Oreochromis niloticus: one gene and its partner. Each later gene encodes a partner of the first gene's protein in a complex. Links are inferred from orthologs where the notes say so. Each region holds a gene or a part of one and is shown in the gene's direction. Other genes may lie near its edges.

Region 1 (10,390 bases):
TCCCGATTTAAGAACGAAAACCACGGCTGGCTCTTGGTGTTTTCTGATTGGAAACCGATTTTTTGTTTTGCGTTTGCTGTTCGAACATTTCCGATGAAGTCGTTCATCTCAGGAGTTCAAATATTCTTTTGTTTTTAATTTCGTAACCTTTTACTTTCCTTCAGCGGCTCACACACACAGGCAGCTTCACTGCAGGGTCTTTAATCATATTTTAATGATCAGGAATAAATCGTCTGAATTTATAGAAACAAAACAGAAGTTACTGTTTGGAGGTCGTGACCTCCGCTCCAGCGGCGTCCTCGGCCCGTTCAGGATTTACAGGAAAGGATTTTGGGAGCGACGGTTTAACTTTAAGTCCTGCTGAGAATCTCGGGGTAAAGAGATCTCAGTGTGAAAATAAAGGTAATAATAATAAATCCTGCTGTCAAAGATGAAATTTGAGTTTTTTTCTTGGGAAAAGGGAATTAAACTCCCGGCGTTCCTCGTCATTGACGCAAACACGATGCGGGGAATATCGGGATGTGCGAGGACGCTCACTGAAGGTTTCTGTTTGCAGCTTCTGTTGCAAACAGAATGTAAAATTTTCCAAATTCAGCCAGTTTCACTTTATTTATTTTGCACCTTCAGCTGCAAACACTGATTCAGGATATTTTTTTTCTCTGCAGAGGACGAAGATTTCTCCATCCTGCTGACGGCCCTCGAAGGTGCGACCTGCTGTTTCAGAAACTAAAGTTTAAAAAAATCCATGAAACGTGTTTCCTCACCTGTCGCCTGTTTGTTCCCACCAGAGTACGAAGGTTTCATAAAGGGAGGAGCTTCCTTACCACCTTTACTCTGCGTGATCACAGGTAGTCCAGCTCGCTCCTTACAGATTAGAACCTCCAGTAATTTTGAGTTTTCCTTTATTCAGAAAACGTTTCCGCTCACTCTGTGTGTTTTTGTGCGTTTGTGCAGGTAAGGGTCCTCAGAAGGAACACTACATGAAGCTCATCGACTCCCTGCACCTGGAGCACGTGAAGATCTGCACCCCCTGGCTGGAGGCTGAAGATTACCCTCTGCTTTTAGGTATTTTAGTATTTATTTTGTCTGTTCGACCAGTTTAGTCTCACTCGTGTTTGCGCACAAAGGTTTAGCAGGTCGTTGGAGGAGTTTTCTTCTCTGTCGTCCAGGCTCAGCAGATCTGGGTGTTTGTCTCCACAAGTCGTCCAGCGGTCTGGATCTGCCCATGAAGGTGGTGGACATGTTTGGCTGCTGCCTCCCCGTCTGCGCCATCCACTTCAACTGGTGAGCTGACCTCTTAACCCTGCATGCTTTCTAGTGGCCAGGAGGGGGCGACTCCTCTGGCTGCAAAGGAAAATGCTCATCAGTGACCTCTGTAAATACCTCCCTCTCTGAGACTGTGCTTCCTAAATCTGACTCTGCGGTCTCTTTTTCACCAGTTTGGATGAGCTGGTGAAGCACGAGGAGAACGGGCTGATCTTCAAAGACTCTGCAGAGCTCGCCGAGCAGCTGAAGGTGAGAGACGCCTGTAAACCAGTCACATGATCAGGAGAAAGATTCAGGCAGAACCTCATATGAACTCTGATATCTACCAACAGTTATGCTTCTCTGAAAGTGAACACGATTGATTTAAGAATAGACTGTATATAAAAGATGGTTTTGTGGGTTCTGAAGTGTGAGTCAAGTGGCCATATCTGTGATGAGAGGGTGACACAGGCGGCTGTAGCTGCTAGCTGTCTGCTGGGCTTCACCTCAGCTAACTGGAGTCCCTGAACTGGACCTCTGGACCGTGTTTGTGCTGTTGGAGCATTTTTAATAACATCATGTGACCAATAACATGGCTGCTGTGAGGCGACTGTACTAACAGACTGTCCAAGAAATCTGAGCCACAGTTTTGTGAGTGAAATTCTAGGATTTTAATAGTTAATAGCTAATTATTTATATAGCATGGTAGCTAGCTAGCATTAGCTGATACCTTAGCACTCCACCTTCTCTCTTCTAGCCTCAAAAAAACCAAACGGGGTGATCGACACGCTCAGAATGAGGCTTCAGAGCCCAAATAAGAAACAAGTGATATAGCAGCAGTTATTTCCATCTTTTACTTACAGTCTCTGATTAGGAGTCACCACCTTTCAGAAATTGAACCTTCTCATAAATGCTGAACGTTTATGTTTCCAGGCTCTCCTGTCAGATTTTCCCAGTTCAGACGGCAAACTGGGAACCTTCAGGAGGAACCTCCGCGCCAGCAGGGGACAGTGCTGGGATGACAACTGGGACCAGAACGTCCTTCCTCTAATCACTGCTCCGAGATAACTTTGGCTGTATTTAGAGAGCTAGACAGTGCTGCTGTTTTAAAACCATTTCTTTTATTCATGAAAGTCTCGCTTTCTAAGCCCTACTGGGCACGTGCAGTAGACATCACCATGGAAACAAGCCTTTTTTTCCTCGTATGCCGGGTGAGCACTTTTCATGGAATAAAGTAGGCCCAGCCTTTGAGTCCAGTATCCAGTGAATGCCTGGATGATATGAGCTCCAGTTACAGCAGAGTGAGAGCGCAAAGGACCAAAACTGTTTGCTTGGGTGTTTTATGATAAATGTACATTTAAAATTTAAATGGATCAGCGGGTGAAAAGACCGAAGTCTTCTGAGGTCTTCTTTTTATTCCTGACGTTTTTCCTTCTTCACTTGAATGTACAAAGGAAGTTGTCATGACGATGGAGATGTACATTTGTAAATAAAATCTTTATCATGCTCCCCCCGTGTCATCTGCACAGTTTGATGAGCTCTATAGCCGACTGTCTGTTATAAGGAAACACATGGTTGACAGGTCCTGGGATCACTTCATGGCCGACTCCTTCAGTTTCTGCCAAAACAAACAAACAAATAATGACTTTATTCAAGATGCTTTATACAAACCAAGGTCCTGCACTCTGTATAAAATCATCTTCATAGTTCCCCAAGCACGCCTCAAAAACAACTATTATTATTTATTCCCACTGTAACCAGGAAGTATCCAGGATCAAATCTGGCCAGATTTCTCTCTGCAGGCTCGTTTTGTCCACACTGGAACGTCTGAGTGTTTACTGTGAGCTGTCCCAGTTTCTTTTTGCTTCATTTTCTTTCATGAATTGTGGACACTGTGCACAGCTGGTTAAAGAACTACTTACTACAGCAAACCACAGTATTTTTCCCCGTGTGATGTTTACTGTTCATTTCAGGCAGCAAACACGTTTTTGTGTGTGACGCTGATGAAACTCCGCCGCCAGACTCGAGCGTGAGGTCGATAACGTGACGTTAGCATGAGCCAAAGAGGCACAGCAGAACGTTAGGTTTAAGTAAACCAGACTCTGATCAGCTTTAAGTCTGAATTAATCTGAACTATCTTCAGCACAGCCTCCTCCTCCTCAGCGTTGTCTTACCAAGCTGCTGTTTGAAGCCGCCGTACGTCTCCAGGTTCCTTATCGTGGAGCAGACGAAGACCTGAGGGAGAACCTCAGCAGACGAACACCTCATGACAATGGACAGCAGCTTCGCCAGACTTCCTGCAATGTCAGGGTCGTACACCACGTCTGCACCACGACAAACAAACAACAGGAATCTGAGAAAGCAGAGTGTCAAGAGCTCCATAAAAGCTGGAACAGACTGAGGTGTGTGAATGTGTGTCCACGCCATCTCGCTCCATAAATCTGACCTGCGGCGATGATGATGTCAGCCCCAATCTCCCTCAGCTCTTCCTCTGAGGTTGCCGTCCAGTCCAGCTTCTCCACGCTGACCGCTGGGGTCGTCTGCTCGCTCAGCCCGTTCAGCTGGACGTTGTCTCTGAGTTTCTGCAGCACTCTGCAGTGACAGTCACTGAAGATGAATCGCTTTGGGCTGCACGACCGACAGACGGCGATACCCGTCAACCCCGCGCCGCTGCCCAGCTCCAGCACCGTCCTGAAGGAGGAGGAGAAAATTTAAAAGCTGCAGAGGCTCCACCTGGAGGGCGACAACCTGCAGATCCTTCAGCTTACCTGCCAGCAAAGACCTGCTGGTTCTCCAGAGCCCACTCCGCCAGGTAAAGAGCCGCCTCCCACGTCACCAGCCCGGTGGTCCCCTCTGAGATCAGAGCAATGTTCTCCATCAAGCTCACAGCGCCACCAGCAGGCTGCGGGACACAAACATGGCTGCACTTCAAATTAAGACTCCAGCAAGCAACAGCTGGCAAAAGTAGGGCCGGGCGATTCAGACCAAAAATTAGATCTTGATATTTTTATGGCACAAAACAAATAATTTGATATAAAGGTGACAGTGACGCTGAGGGTTTTCCTGTGTGCAGTACCAGCAGGTAGCTCTTGTAGCACTCCGTGGTCTCCTCAGTGCCCACCACCTCAGCCAGAGCATCATACAGCTCATCCAGAGGTTCACAGCCTGAAGCTTCCAGCTGTGGAGGAAGAAACCAGGAAGCACACAGCCGGGTTTTACTCTGTGATCGAGTATTTCAACATCTTTCTGTCCAGAGGGAAAAAAACTCAACTAATAATCTGAGAGTTAACCTCTCCTTACCCGTCTGATGAGCTCGGAGAGAAACAGCCTCCTGTATCTGACTGAAGGTGCAAACTTCCGGCACAGGGGATGAAGACACGTCTGTAAAAACACGTGACTGTTCATTACACTAACGAAGCTGAGCTGTTTTAGGATTACAGCACGATGGAGGAACACTCACCTGTTTCAGCACCTGTGAAATGAGCTCTGATGACCCGCTGCTCTGAAGGTCTTTTTCTACAAACTGTAAGCAGATAAAAGTTATACAGAGGACATTACAGAGGTTTAAGTCACATTTTAAGTTCAATTCAAGTCATTCACATAGAGCCAAATCACAAAACACACGCCTCAAGGAGCTTAATATTATAAGGCAGACCCTACAATAACCCCAACAATCAGACGACCCCCATGAGCAAGCACTGGGCGACAGTGGAAAGGAAAAAATGTCCTTTAAAGGGAAGAAATCTCCGGCAGAACCAGGCTCAGCCGAATTATTCAGGGGGGTCCCCTGACTGATTTCATTGCTTTACTCGTGTTTTACAGGCAGCGGGTTTGTGGCCAGCTTTGGTGCTCTAATGCGCAGATTTCTGAATGAAGTTCGGCCAGTCTCATACTCACAGTCCAGGGAAACGAAGGCAGCCGACTCATAGCGAAAAACGACACCTGGAACTCCTTTAAAACCTCTCTAACTGAACCCTGCACTGAGGACTGCTCTGAAAGCGCCATCTTACACGTGTATTTGTTTACTTCCTATTTACCCATAATCCTGCGCGACCGTCTCTCGCTAGAGCCTCTGGGTAGTGAAGTTTATCTGTAGGTTTGAGCATAGTCTACCTTTTTTAAAGCTACAGAGAGCTAAGTGCATGTGTGTAAAACATACATGACATATTACACACTTCTTTTAAATTATTGTATATTTTTATTAGTGAACATTTTTTTATTTAAATGTAATGTTTTGTATTAATTGGAACTTACCTTCATTTTGAACCAGAGTGTGTGTTTTTTCTGGGGCTTTTCTTAACCTTTTTATACAGTTTCTGTTGCTCTCTGTGTGTTTTCCTTTTCCTTTTAGTTTGGAGGGTCTTTGGACATCATCACCATCAGAGATGCTGGAGTGCTCTGATTATGGTCTCATCATATTTTAGCTAAAAGGTTCAGGATTCAAGTCCAGCAAATGTGTTTTTCTACTTTTAAGGTCAAAATTAAAGGTTGCCATTCCTGTGGCTCTCCTCTGTATCATGAGATCAAACCTCCAGACAACCCACTTCTCCCGCAGGTAATCTTGTGCTTTAAAGATCTTCTGTGTAAGAGTTTTCTGAATTAAAATCATGTATACTTTTGTTTTAAGGAGGTTTTGTCTGTTTTGTTCGTATGCATGTTTTGTAACCTCAGAGTAAATTTCTGATCCATCAGAGCTGCTGGAGAGCTCAGCTGGTTCTGTCTGTCAGTGGATTTTAACACTGAGGCTCAAGGTTCAAGTCCAGCTGCAGTTCTTATTGAATTGAATCTTTCCTTTATGCCAGCTTCAGCAGCTCGGTGAGATGAATAAAAGGTCATTTTCATTTAGGAACCTGTGATATCTGCTGATATCTGAGAAGCTTTCAGTCAGATCTGCTGCTGTGGCCTTGAATCTTCCCGCTCTTTTCTTGCTGTGTCACTGCAGCCGCAGATAAAATCTCTTCAGTTGGACCAACTGTGCATTCACAGCAGCAGCTCCAGCACACTGAGCATTTACTGGTGAGTATGAGCTGATTATTTTTAAACATCAGTTTGATCATTTCACTTGGTTTTCTTAACAGAAAAAAAGAATCTAAGAGAAACTAACGATTTTGATTATTTGTGGATTTTTTTGAATCTCACTGTTGGGTCTATACAAGTTTTCCTTCCAAGCAAATTATAAATGTTGTTATAATATTATAATACATTATTATTATTTTAAAAAAGAATACATGAAGACAATGAATATAGAATGCTTTTCATAGAGGAAATAACCGTATAAATTAATTTTAAAAGGATTAGCAGAAACACGAATTACTGTTTTCAAAATCAGAGGAGCGTCTTGTGACCAATGCTGAGGCCTGTTAACGTGGTAAAATGTAATTTTAAAGCATACATTATAAATTCAGCGTAAACTGGAATTATTAGTAGGAAGAACTACATGTTGACTTTAACTGATTATTTTATTGTTCTGTGATGTTTTGGTTTGAAAGGTTTTCCCTGATGGATCAATACCTTCATTCAGACATTACAATTCAGAAAATCCAGATCAAACTATTATCAGCATAACAAGAAAACAACAAGAAATGTAAACTAATAGAGTGACTTTTCAAAATAACATTAACAATTCCCTTTCAAATTAATGCAAGACCACTGTTTAAGGAAGTTGTTAAAATATAAATTTAAAATATGAATTAAAAAAAACTTTGAAATATGTGAGACTTTTAATTGTTTCGAAAATTGAAATCTAATCGCAGTAAGAGGAACACAGCACAGTCATTAACGCGTGTTTCTCTCCGGAGCGTTTTATCGCACGGACTGTCAACAACTAAGATGGCTCCGGCGGCTCGTACGTAGCTGCAGAGGGAAGGTGAACTCTTGTTTTCGTGTTAAAGAAGGTAAAGGGTGCATTTTTAACACTCATGTCTCGTCTCCGCGGTGATGTTAGCCAGTTTGATGTTTCCGCTGTTTCTTCGAGCTTCAGTTCATTGATTTTAAAACACTTTTAACGAAAAATAATGAAAAATGCGAAGAACTTTGAGGTGGTTGTCAGTTTGGGGACACAATAAAGCAGCAGTGTGGGGTGTCACTCTTCTCTTTGACGTGTTGGGTAATTTCTTTATGCTCCCGCGGTTACTCTATATAACACTGCAGATAAAACTGCAGCTGACCGGCTTCGTGGTCTCGGAAATCAATGGCATTCCTGCCCCGGGGCTTCCTGTGGTGCTCCAATCTGATTTCTGATTGAAGGGCAAAAAACGAGGACAGCCGTCTCTAACCCTGTTCCGTTCTGTCGCCAAACTTCATTAAAAAATGGAAAATTGAGTGGTTTTCCTGCGGTAGCGCTTATACTGGAAAAGCAGGGATATTTTTCATTAAGAAAAACAACCTCTTTGTCTCCTCGGCAGGTATTTCGTGCTTGATTACTGTTTCTCTTGTGTATATACACACATGCAGACTGTTTCGCACACATGGATTAGACCTGTTCCTAAATGAAGAGAAGTATTCCGTGAAGGTGTCCCACTGAAAACAGGTCCAGGCTTAATCCATGTTTTTTAAAAGCTTTTTCCTCGATGCTTTACTTTTACCGCCATCTTTGATGTTGTAAAATGTTCACATAAATTGTATTTCAGAATTCTTTGATTTCCAAGTTTGACTTTTGTAATATATCTGCTGCTGGCAGTGAGTTTTCCAGTGTTAGACGAGTGTCTCAAACTGAGGTGTGGACACCAATGAGGGACCTGCACGCACTAATCAGCACGCGTATCTGTGATGAAGGATTTCTCCGTCAGGGCGGTAACTGTAAACTTGTAACTGAAGTTAAAGTTTACCTCTGCTTGTTTTATTTCCCTCAGATCATTAGAGCTGCTGGACTCTGAGCCACAGTGCAGTCATGGTGCTGAAGATTTTCTTCCCACAGTGCTGTAACCGGGCGGAGAGCGGGCTGCTGGTGGGCCGCTGGATCTCTGGTCATGACTCAGCCGTGGTGCTGGCGGTCATTCACTACCCCTTCATACCCGGGCAGGTCAAACAGTACATCCAGCAGGTTGGTGATTATAAAGAGGGAGCTGAGTCTTTGTAGGGCACTAGTTGTCCAGTAGGTGTCACCTTTGTGTTTCGAATGAAACACAATGCAGAGGAAAACTTTTAGTTGGATTGCAGATGATCAGATTAATCCATTCAGCAACGTGAGCCAGACTTCAGTCCCTCATCCTTCCTCTGTGTTCGTCTCTAAGATGCAGGCCCAGAGCGGGGTGGAGCTGACGGTACTCGGCTCCTGGAGTTTACCTAAAGAGGGTCAGGAGAGCATGGAGAGCTTCCTCAGGGACCTCAGCACCATCTTCCCCCAGCAGCGCTGGCTCCAAGTCAGTCGCCAAATGGGAAAGATGGGCTTCATCTGTGAGGTCGTCAACCGGAACCAAAGTAAGATCCTCAGACTGGAATCTGCTTCCTCCTTGGATTTTTCTTTTCCACATTTTTTTTATTTTGGACTGTGCTAGAGTAGCTTTGCATGATTCTCAGCTCAAAATAATCCTCATTTATCTTAAACAGGGCATCGGTACAGCTTAGCAATTCATCCTGTCTGAACTAAGCGGCTTTAGCTCCTCCCATTCTTTTAAGCCTGAAATGATAGTTCTCCTTTTTCACAGCTGTCTTTCATTTATTTATTTATCTCATTTATTTATCTAAGAGTTTGTCTCTGTTTTTAATTTTTTTTTTTTTTTTTTTTAAATAAAATGTCCTTTATTTAATTTGAAAGTTGCATTTCCTGTGCTCTGATTTTAATAACTTTCAGATGGGCAAGAAACTCAGCAGGAAGCAAAAAAGCAAAATGAGGAGGAGGAGGAGAAGGTGATCTTTGTCCACTATGAGCAGAGGAAGGTGATGCTGTCGCAGCTCCACCCCACTGAGAGCGGAGATCCTGACCCCAACACCGAGCCGTCGTCTGAGCTGAAACAGGTAGAGAGGAGAAAAAAGCTGTGATGTGTCCATGTTGGTGCAAAGCTCTCAAATCAGCTCCACCAACATGCGTCCAATCCCTGATGTGGGCAGCTGGTGATCTCTCACATGCTGCTGCTCTTCCTGTTGCAGGTGTTCCAGACGGTGGCACGCAGCCAGCCTCTGTTCTTCCTGGATCGCTATGACGACGGGCCGCTGAAGTCGACTCACTGGCAGTCTGAAGGCCGGGAGGCCAGCATCATCGTGGAGCTGCTTAAACAGGCCTCAGTGCCGCTGTGCATGCTCATCAGCTGGCTGCTCGCCTTGTGGACGTGGATCTGTAACATCCGGTAAGAGGAAGGAAGCTACAGCTGAGAGATTTTATATACTGATCAATCAGCTGATTGATTTATCGTAGATTGCCCTCCCCCAGCTGGAAACGGCACAAAACATCCAGTTAATTCATGACGAATAAACCACAAACTAATCCTGCCGCGCCTTCTTTCACCGTTTGTTTCTGCACGAGATGATTCTTGTTCAGTGGTTTCGACTTTGCGTGTTTTAATTTCAGTGAGTTTATGCATTTTAAAACCTTCACATAGAATAAAAAAAAAAACTCATTTCAAGCAATCTGCTCAAGTCCTGTTTGTGCAAAAGACTAAAATGCCTCTAAAAAATCAAAGCATGGATTAAGTTCGAGGTAGTTACACTTTTATTAGATCTGAGCATTTGGGTGTGTTAATCTGTTAATAAAGACTGATGGAAAAGCTTAAAAAAGCTGTATAGTGAAAACAAGTAATAGAGAGTCTCAGATTTTTTTATTTCTACCGTTTATCCAAGACGAGGCTAACAAATGGAAATCTAAGAGATGCACAGGCCTCCCTCTGCACCTCCTCCAGCTCTTCTGAGAGGAGCTTTAAGATCCTTCCAAGCTAGCAGAGAGAGATAATCTATCGAGCAGCTTCTGGCTCTGCTGCAGGACCTCACCCACTTTGATATGCCCAAAATGCCGCAGCTTTGAGGCAGCCAGGAGGCATCCCAGTCAGATGCTGAGCCACCCCAGCTGGCTCCTTTTAATGTGGAGGTGCAGCATCATTACGCACGTTTCTGCTGCTTGTATCCTCAGACTCACTCTGTTGGTCTCATGGTCATAGGTGAAGTAGGAACGTAGCTCAGCCGGTGAATCGACAGCTTTGCTTTCAAACTCGGT
Region 2 (9,749 bases), on another chromosome or scaffold:
TTTTACACCCCTTACGTTTTTGTCCCTTCAGTGCTTTCAATACGTCCCATTACATTTCTGTGTGAGAAGAAATCGATGCTAACTTAAGCCTGGATAGATTTGGGAGAGTAAATATGTAGGAAGTCATGAACAACATGTAGAGGCAGTAAACAGGAGCTGAAACATCACGTTACAGATTCACCCCTGTTATGACGCTATCTCGTCAATATTTCTGCCTTTGGATGTGATGAGGACACAAAGGTCCCCGAGAGACGCTCTTCAGTCAGGCTGAGAAAAAATCAGCCTGGAACTGAAACTGAAGCTTTTATCCTTTTATTTTAATGTTATTTGATCACTGTGTTTATACTTATTTACACTGTTTTGCACATGTGAACTCTCTGAGGAGAATTAGAAACCACTAAAAGGAAACAGAGGTGGCACAGTTGTCCGAAACAACATGAAATCTTCTGTTTTTAAATTTCTTATTTCATTTCTGTTGGCTTAATGCCTGCAGAGCCTATGTTCATATGGCTGGCCATATGTAACCATCCATCCTCTGCACTTATTAAGTACTTATTCACTTTTTAAATTCCAATGATGTCGTAAACCTGTCATAAATGTGAGGTTTTGTGGGGTCTTTACTTCCTTTCTCAGCCACATTTTATTTCCAACTTTGGCCTTTCTCAGATATTAAGTACACACAAATAAGCTGAATCCAGAATGTGTGTATTTATAAGGCAGGAGATCTTTATTGAGGGCCTGTTCTGCTCCACTGGAGTAGCTTTTAATGGTACTAGCCCCTCAGTTCATCCACTCTCTAAAAGAAATTGTTTAAGCACCTGTCTCTTTATAAGAACCCTCTTGTTAAAAGCCAACTTTCCAATGACTGGACCGCTTCTGGAAGCCTGCAGAGGGGCATATCAGGGTTTCTGAGCTGTATTGTCTATTTTGTGCAAAACTGACATCAGCACATCATGAGAGCAGAATGTTGTTTGGCTCACAGGAACTACTCTTATCAGTGTTTACCTCATTTTTGTAAAATATGTAACATTATAATATTATATATTTAACAGAAAGTAAGAAATAAATCCTCTTTAACAACAAGTGACATTACAACAAGCTAAACAGAAATTGACATTAGCAGGAAAAATGGCTATAATCACAATATTAGCATTAGCAAATGTTGCCTATTTATGCATCCATGCATTTAGGCGCTCATTCACCTTTAGAACCATAGTTAATGTCGTTTTACTTGCTCACTGCCTGCTGACGTTCTGGCTTCACACTGACAAACAAAGCAGTGTTTTTACCAAAAATATTAACTTCAATCAGAACTCTTTGCAGTTTGTAGCTTTGGACAGTTTAAGTTTTGTGCATGTGCAAGGAAAGTAAAACTCCTTTTTCCCCATTGCTTTTGCAAGGCTTGTGCAGACTTAGCGTGTTGAGCTAGCAGTGATACTGTGGGCTGGTGTTGGCTGTAGTGAGGTCAGTCCCACAGCTGCAGCAGCACAAAGCCTCTGTTGTGTGAGTACTGACAGTATACAATAGATCTTCACCCCCCCACGGGACTCATTTGTGCATTTGTGATTATGTTCATGCTGCAAGATGTGCATGCGGGCCATGCATCTCTGACTGATATGAAAGGATGTACTGTATAAAAGACAGTTTTTTTAAGCTTTCTGGTGCATCAAGTCATGCAAAAGTGTAAGTAAGTTGTAAGCAAGTACTGGATACTTGGGACATCTAGAGGTTTGTTAGGTTCACCACTCCTCAAAAGTTTGGGATTGCTTAGAAAAGTCCTTCTTTCTGAAAATAAAGTAGATTTTTTTTATTTAATATAACATTAAATTCATGTTAACTATTTTATATAAAAATTTGTGATTAATGAAACTGTTAATTATAAACCCTCCGATATTGTGTTAACCATTGAAAGTTTATCATATTAAAAAGCCTACTAATCATTAGATAAAGTAGTTAGTCTCTGGATGTTATCCACAGCTTTCATAATTTGTCGAATGTGGAAGCTTGTTTCTGTCACTGAAAGAAGAAGTTATTTTCTCAGACGTTTGAACTAGTAACTTGGATTCTTTAGATAATAACCTGAAATTCTCACTTTATCTGGCAAAAACTGTTTTTGTTTTTGTGTTTATTTTCAGTAATGGGACAGGCAGAGGTACAGGCAGACATTTTCATGCAGTCATGTGTATTATTCCCTCCACAGTAACTGGCTGTCACCAGAAAAGAAAGAGGTTCAATACTGACAAACTCCATAAGGGTGTTTGGATAAAAGAGGTGACAGGTGTTCAGACTGCAGCTTCATTAGACGGAAACCATAACAGTCAGACTGAAGGGAGTAGTACACACTGTTGCATTAGGTAACAGTCTGTCATAGATACATGTACAACATTTCTGATTAATTTTATGATACATGAATTTTTAAAGCACTTTTCTAAGTGATCCCCAACTTTAACCTGTACTATTTAATAATTATACACATACCTTTATTGCCATATTTTCCATTAACAGTCCACATTGGTGTGTGTGTGTGTGTGTGTACGAAATGTGTGATGTGGTAACCATATAGTCTATTTTCCTTTTATTTCCAGACCAGCAGGCTGGTCTGCAGCACGGATCTGTGTGTAAAAGCTTATATTTTATGGTAAGATGTGACTAAACAGTAATTATTTACAGTGAAGCCTGCGGTTACTGGGGAAAGTATGCAGTAATGGGATCTGTCTGCCACTGTGATTTGTTCTAGAAATACTTACTCTTTCTTTGTACTTGACCATATGTAACCTTGTGATCTTATTAAGCAAGTGTTTCTATTTCTGCATGTGGTGAAATGTTTTTTTTTTTTATTATTATTATCATTTCTGATTATTTGAAATTAAATTGTTGGGGCCAGGGTTATATTGCATTGGTAGCTGTGGTACTGATTTAACAAGATGGGGTTTGGTAAAGGGAATATATACTTCACAAAACACTTTCTACCATATTTTAAAACGTATTTATATTAAAGGTAAAATCACTTAATGTGTAGAAATATAATAAATGCATATAAAATATCTAATATAAGCATTAATGTTGGGTGAAAATAATTTTGTTGCATAAATTGGTGCATTTCTGGGTTTTTTGAGAAAGAAAAATCAGTTTTGTTTTATTTTCAAATGCTTTCTAACTCCATGCACACATATTTTCACTCCTTGTGTTAAAATACCAGGAAATATTTCAAGAATTCAGATGATCTGACCTGTTAATAACTACATGTAAACAGAGGAGTTGTGATGAACATGAAAACCAAATAAACTGTCAAAGTCTCTTCTTTCTTTAACTGCCGAAGATTCATCTGTTTGTTTGCACATGTCATGTGATACTACACCTTAACACAAGCGCTATTATATACAGTCACGTACATGTAAGTACATGCAATGAAAATATGGAGACAAACAAAAGTTGAACTGATGCCTTCAGGAGAACGTGGTATATTTGAACAACAAGAGGGAAACTTGACTTTCTGATCATCAGCTAAACAAAACTATTATCGTTTTAAGTGAAATTATTCTATAGAAAAGAATAACTACACCTCTGACATCACAAGTCACTTTTGCCATCTTTAGTAGAAATTACTTTTTGGCGTTTTGCATGATTGTCCACCAGTCTCTGATGATAACCTGCCAAAATCTTTCATCCACTTTTTAAAAAAAAAATAAAAAAAAAATAAAAAAATGGAAAAATTATCTTTACTTCTAGATCTGTGCTTTGAATAAGGCATTATTATCCAGGGTGCCACAAACTCACCGTACAGATCAACCCTGCAGCCAGGGAACTGTGGACCTGATTGGACCTTCTTGATTTGCACTTGGACTCTCTTTTCTCACCTACTGACCTCCTTTTTTGCCACTCACTAGTTAGGTTTAGGCCCTGAGAGTTGTTTGGTTTAGGCACGACAGCACCAAAGGACACCTTGTGCATACCTGAAACGCGCACGCAGCAATGCCAAAACGCTGTTATTTGATGCTCCAGGAATGAAAGGAATCTGGTTCTCATTCCTTTCTTCTTTTTGAGTCCTTCTTTGGTGGATTTGTTGTACTAAGGATCATTAGTAGTGTTGAAAAGTCCAGTTCTAATTCAACTTTGAACTTTCAGATGGATGGCCTCACATCACTGTTTACAGAATTCACAGAGTGGTTCTTCCTCTTAAAAGCTGTCTTTGCTCTGCAATAAAACATGTCAGCTGTTATTGTGATGATCCATCAGGACATCAAAGGCCTGGTTTTGACTTCTAGATTTACTGTCAAACTCCAGACATGGAACAAGAATGGGGGAAAAATTCATCTCATAAAAAGCATCTCGAAGAAAACCAGGGGCACTTCAACTTACTGAAATATTTAAATGGCCTGAAACCAAAGAGCTTTAATTTTCTGAAGGACAATAAGAATTTTTCTGTTGTAGCATTTCATTTGCTCCTTACTATTTTCCACTTCAGTGCAGGTATAAAATCATTATCTAATTATTCTGCTTTTATTCACATTAAAATAAAGCAAAAATTTATTTTTATAATGTCTGTCAACAGTATTTTATGGTTTGTGGGGTGATTATAAAATATTTTTTAAGATTCTGAATACAACGTGTCAACCAAATGAATTTTTTCGTTTGTTTTGTTTCGCTGTTTTTATGGTTATTTGCCTCAAACATGCGTGTGTGATGCTGTGATCTATGAAGCTGCAGTAGCAGGTAAACCACGAGAGGGCTTTACAAGGACATGGTCAAGATCATCCAACAAAAACTATTTTCCAACCATGCTGGGAAAAAGAGAAAAGAGAATTGAAGAGCTTTGGGTTGACAGAAAGCAGCTGAATTTAATTTGGACAAGATCAACATAAGTCAAACAGTACTGTTGCCTGCAATACCACCTTGGATACTCCCTGAACCAGTAGTATATTTCACACTATTAAACAAAAAGAATATTATTCTGTATTCACATACAGTGCAGGAATATATTAATCAGTATTACAGTTCTGTCAAAATCTACACAGATGCATCAAAGAATACAGCCAACCAAAGCGGGATAGCCTTTATTGTTCCTGAATTTAATATCAAGGTAGGGAAAAGGATCAGTGATGGTAATCAAATGGTGTCAGTACTGTTAGCTGTCCAGTGGATTGAAGATACAAGACCACTAAGATATGTGATATGCTCAGACTCGAGTTCATCATTGGCTAGTTTGCAAGACAGTCACTCATACTGCAGACCGGACATTGTGATAGAAATTCAGCAAACATTATTCAGAGTTACTATGATGGGGCTTATGGTCACCTTCTTATGGGTACCAGCACATCATGGAGTTAAGGGAAGTTAAATGGCAGACAGAACGGCAAAGGAAGCTACAAAGAGACCGTTGGTGGATATGGATATCAGTGTTAGGATGGAGATCAAGAGTGGAATATGGCACAAAATGAAGGAAGGGTGTCAAAGGCAATGGCGGGGGGGGTGTTTACAAAATCCAAAGGAAAACAGGAGAAATTAAAGGCACAGGAACAAACAGGAAAGATGAGATGGTTATATATCGACTTATATTTGGACACACTGGTTTGAATAGCATGTTGCTTTTAATAGGGAAACACTGTAGAGGGGACTGTGACTGCAGTAGAAGACAGGAAACAGAACATGTTTTATTGCATTGTCAGAAATACGATGCTGAAAGAAGACAACTGATGAAAAAGCTTGACAGTATACTGGAAACTGGAATTGGTTGATTTATTTTGCAAGAACTTTAAAAGTGAAAGTTTTCAGGCCATATTTTGGTTTTTAAGGCAGACTCATTTGTTTGGGTGGATTTCAATGTTCTTTTCTTTTTTTTGGTCATTTTGGTCCACACTCCACACCAGTTGTTGGCGGTAATGCACCATTTTGCTGTTTGCCAATAAACACTATAAAGAAGAAGAAGAAGAAGAAGAAGAACCACGAGAGGGCATCAGAGACCATTAGATGAATCGTATCAACCGGATTACTCAACAGGAAGAAGAGCACCAGGCTACGTCAGCAAATAACAACATTACCTTTTTGTGGATGAGAAATGGTAAGAAAGCTGCTGTGATTACTTTTAAACAGCTGATAAACGAGCAGAGACAAATTAATACTTTAATGAAATTCCGTCAGTTTAAGCGTAATTAGATTCAGAGCTAATCTTTGCTGTTTGGCTGTGACATTTATTTCTTTTAGCTTCATGCTAGCAGTTAGCTTCATGGTTGGTGTAAAACTGATTATAGGTTAACCGACCTGGTAACATTTTTCAGCCCCGAAATTACAGACAGTGGTTTTTTATTCGTATATTGCGTGTATATGAAGTTAGTAGACCGAGTATCTTTGATAATTATCAAATGAACTGAAACGGTGAAGGTTTGAATGAAGTTTGGTGCGGCTGCGCAGTGCCGTTGCAGATTAAAGGGGATTCTCTCTATTGTCTCGTTTTAATGCATCTTATTGTGGAAGTGGGGGAACACCTGGTGGCTGCAGATGCTTTTGTTGGTTTAGCTGCCAGAGTCGACGTGCTACGGTGGAGGTAGTGTTGTAGCTCGAGCTGTTAGTTTAATTGGCAGGTGCTGATGGAGTTAGTGTGAAGATGCAAAATGCATACACGCATCAATATTATCCTAAGACAACATTTAAATTGTTTTAATTTAAACAAATAAATAAACAAACCATGAAGTCTTCCGTCTGGTCTCCTAGCTCTGTCTTTCTTTCTTTCTTTCTTTTCGTAACATAAACAAAGACCCTCGAGTTTACCTGCGTAGATCCTGTTCACCTGTCAGCTGTTTAACACCTGCTGATTCAGGAAACACGCCCCCGTTACCTGGTGACAGTCACAGTTTAACTTGGGCAGCTGCTGCAATACAACGTGACGTCATGACAATATTGTGCACAAAATAAGTAAATGTAGTTTGTTTCCTCAGTGGAGAGCTGCTGGAGCTTGTTCCCCCTCAGAGTGACCGATCTGGATTAAAGATGACAAACAGGATTTAAATGGATGGAGCGATGGACCACTTTATAAGCAAACCTGTTGCTTTAATGAGAATTTGGGCTGTTTGCATATGAAATAAATAGAATTAATGACCCATACTGTTTGGATTAGTACCTGTGTACCTCAGTAATATAGCTCTGCCACTGATCTGCTGAAATGACTAAAAATCATCCTTTCAAGATCCGAGTATATTCAGAAAACTCACCAAACTCACAGCTGAATTACAAAGCACTTAGCAGCTTATCAGTCAGCTGAGAAACAGGACGTAGGTTTAAGTGTGTGTTTCTGACCTGCTGCTCAGCATCCATCGCTCCTCCTTTAAATATTGTTTGTCATCTTTAACTCAGATCAGTCACTCAGAGGGGAAAGTGGAGGTCAGCTGAGCTGATCGGTGGTGTCCTGAGAAAACGTCAGCTCGTTATTTATGTTAAAGAAAGACAGGGGTACGAGACCAGGCAGAAGACTTTATGATTAATTTATTTTTTATCAAAATCATTTATTTGTTGTCTGAAGATAATTTTGCTCTGTGTGTGCATTTGCACAAGCTGCAGATGGAGACTTTTTTTTTTTTTTTTTTTTTGCCAAGGTCCTTAATCTTGTCAAGCTGCAGACTCACTGACAGACAGAGGAGACAAATCTGCAGATCCAACATCTGGAACACGGAGAGTAGAACATGTAACCAAATCTAACCAGTTAACCTGGAGCACCAGAGTTAGTTGCAGGTGTAGTTGCAATGGTGAATTTAGATGATTAGTTGGTTTAGAGGTTGATTTAGTTGAAGATGAATGATGAAGTTGAAGCTGCTGTAGTGTCAGTGGTTGTTTTAGCTGCAAAGGTTGTCATGTTTAGTTGCAATTGACCTTGTAGATGGAACAGTTGTTTTCGTGACCTCATACTGGGGATCTTTTGATTCGAGATCTATTGAATCAAAGTCTTGTTGAGTTTTTATTTATTTGTTGATTGATGCTCGTTATTTTGATTACATGACTTCCTTTGAAATGTGGGTTTATAAAACCGGGTTCGTACGGGTGCTTGAAATCCTTGAAAATGCTTGAATTCTAATGTCGTCTTTTCAAGGCTTGAAAAGTGCTTGAATTTCAGATGTGGTGCTTAAAAGTGCTTGAAAATGTAACTGTATTTCATTCACAATAAATAGCTATCTGATTGAATTGTTTTCTTATCAGACAGAGAAATAAAATGAGACGCAAAAGCAAAATTTCCCCGCCTGGGCTGCCTTGCCTCTGTTTCAATATGTGACCCCGCCCCTCCCTCGGACAGTCGGGGATGAGTGCGCTAACATACCTGTAGGTTGCTGTTTTAATGAGTGTTTGATGGGAAAACAACAATGGCGGAGTTTACGTTCTCCAGTCGCATGATAGGTGAGTCCTAGTAAATAATTTTCCAGTACGCGTACGTTACACATGCTATTTTTAAAAAAAAAAAAAAAATTATGATTATTATTTTGCTAGCTATCAAACTCGCTGGAGAAATGATTGAAATGCACTGAGTGTGATGCAGTATGGCAGCGCTATTACGGAATATGCTGTGAACTTAGCTAACATTATTTAGCAGTAATATGAGTTAATTTACTCAAGTGAAAGCTTTAAACATTAGCCCGATACATAACTAGCTAACTTAAGGCTTTCTGATTAACCCTCTGGGGTCGACGGACCCAGAGTCTCCATTTCAACTTGGGTCGAACGTGCGGACTTCAAGCTATATACCAGTTTTTAAATTGTGTTGATAGGTCACGTAAAACCGATGTTTTTTTTTTTTTGGGGGGGGGGAGGTTCTGAATAAAACAGTGGCGTTTATGGTAAAAACGGCGTTTTTTATGGAGAGCGCTAGCAAACACGCTTTGCTTGTGAGTGAAAAAAGAAAAAACACTCCTTCCCTATTGGTGGAAAAATGTACCATGTCGACCAATCAAAAAATGATACGGCAACGTGGTATTTGGTTGTTGGGAAGAGAGAGCGAGTGAGCGAAAAAGAGAGAGAGAGTTTTGATCATTGACCAATGGTTTTGATACGTGAAAGATTTGTGATGTTTATCATGTTTGGAGTCTCAAGTTAGTGTGTTATCTTGTGTAGTTAGTGTGTAGTGTAGTCGTTTTGTTTTGTGTCAGTTCTACTAGTGAACGTCACAGTTGCTGCAAAAAAGCCACCAAAGGCAGATTGCAGTATAAACGCTGAGCGACACACCTGCTGTCAGACCTGCAGGTTTATCCCTGTGCTGTTCTCATCTGTGTTATAGTGGACACAAACTATTTTTTGGAGTTGCATAAATAATTTGTGTGCCTTCTTATTTGATGCAGCAAACCTGATTGTTCTGTAAATAGTTTTGAATGGTTATATAAAAAACGTCTGACCTTGGCTGCATTTTTAGGTAAATAGTACCATATAACTTTGTTGTTTGCAAAACTTGTTCATATTTTTTAAAAATGTCCAATTTTTATTTGCATTTCAAGTTATGAAAATGATTTGTTAAACATGCTTGTGGTTTTTACAGTCAAAAATATCACTTTCTACTTGTATTTTAAATTTTGTCTCAATTTAGATAAATTGTACTGAAGTGATGCAAATTGAAACATGCATTCTTTTTTTGAGGGGGGGGGGTGCTGTGCTGGAAAAGCTTAAAAAGGGACCTTGAAAGTGCTTAAAAAGTGCTTGAATTTGACCCTGAAAAAAGCGTACGAACCCTGATAAAAGTGCCTGTAGATAGAGATAACTATTTATATTGATCCAAATTT

What was found. The genes of interacting proteins can lie anywhere in the genome.
Region 2: pigq (region 1) and dpm2 share a complex: the UniProt entries of both Homo sapiens proteins name them as parts of the glycosylphosphatidylinositol-N-acetylglucosaminyltransferase (GPI-GnT) complex. The link is inferred for Oreochromis niloticus from reciprocal best matches to the Homo sapiens genes PIGQ and DPM2.

Annotation. Positions count from the first base shown.
Region 1 is NC_031969.2:32,537,636-32,548,025, forward strand, and holds the start of pigq (phosphatidylinositol N-acetylglucosaminyltransferase subunit Q), read left to right. Parts: upstream 1-6,181; 5' UTR 6,182-6,261; intron 6,262-7,010; exon of another isoform or gene 7,011-7,139; intron 7,140-8,096; 5' UTR 8,097-8,134; coding exon 8,135-8,287; intron 8,288-8,477; coding exon 8,478-8,664; intron 8,665-9,037; coding exon 9,038-9,201; intron 9,202-9,333; coding exon 9,334-9,530; intron 9,531-10,390. Other genes in the region: alg1 (chitobiosyldiphosphodolichol beta-mannosyltransferase), read left to right, coding at 666-704, 789-848, 955-1,065, 1,170-1,284, 1,440-1,515, 2,179-2,313; protein-lysine N-methyltransferase EEF2KMT, read right to left, coding at 2,763-2,863, 3,420-3,569, 3,692-3,936, 4,014-4,147, 4,322-4,423, 4,546-4,626, 4,706-4,768, 5,143-5,250. UniProt on the Homo sapiens protein: Part of the glycosylphosphatidylinositol-N-acetylglucosaminyltransferase (GPI-GnT) complex that catalyzes the transfer of N-acetylglucosamine from UDP-N-acetylglucosamine to phosphatidylinositol and participates in the first step of GPI biosynthesis.
Region 2 is NC_031972.2:34,763,515-34,773,263, forward strand, and holds the start of dpm2 (dolichol phosphate-mannose biosynthesis regulatory protein), read left to right. Parts: upstream 1-5,905; 5' UTR 5,906-6,055; coding exon 6,056-6,058; intron 6,059-9,749. UniProt on the Homo sapiens protein: Regulates the biosynthesis of dolichol phosphate-mannose. Regulatory subunit of the dolichol-phosphate mannose (DPM) synthase complex; essential for the ER localization and stable expression of DPM1.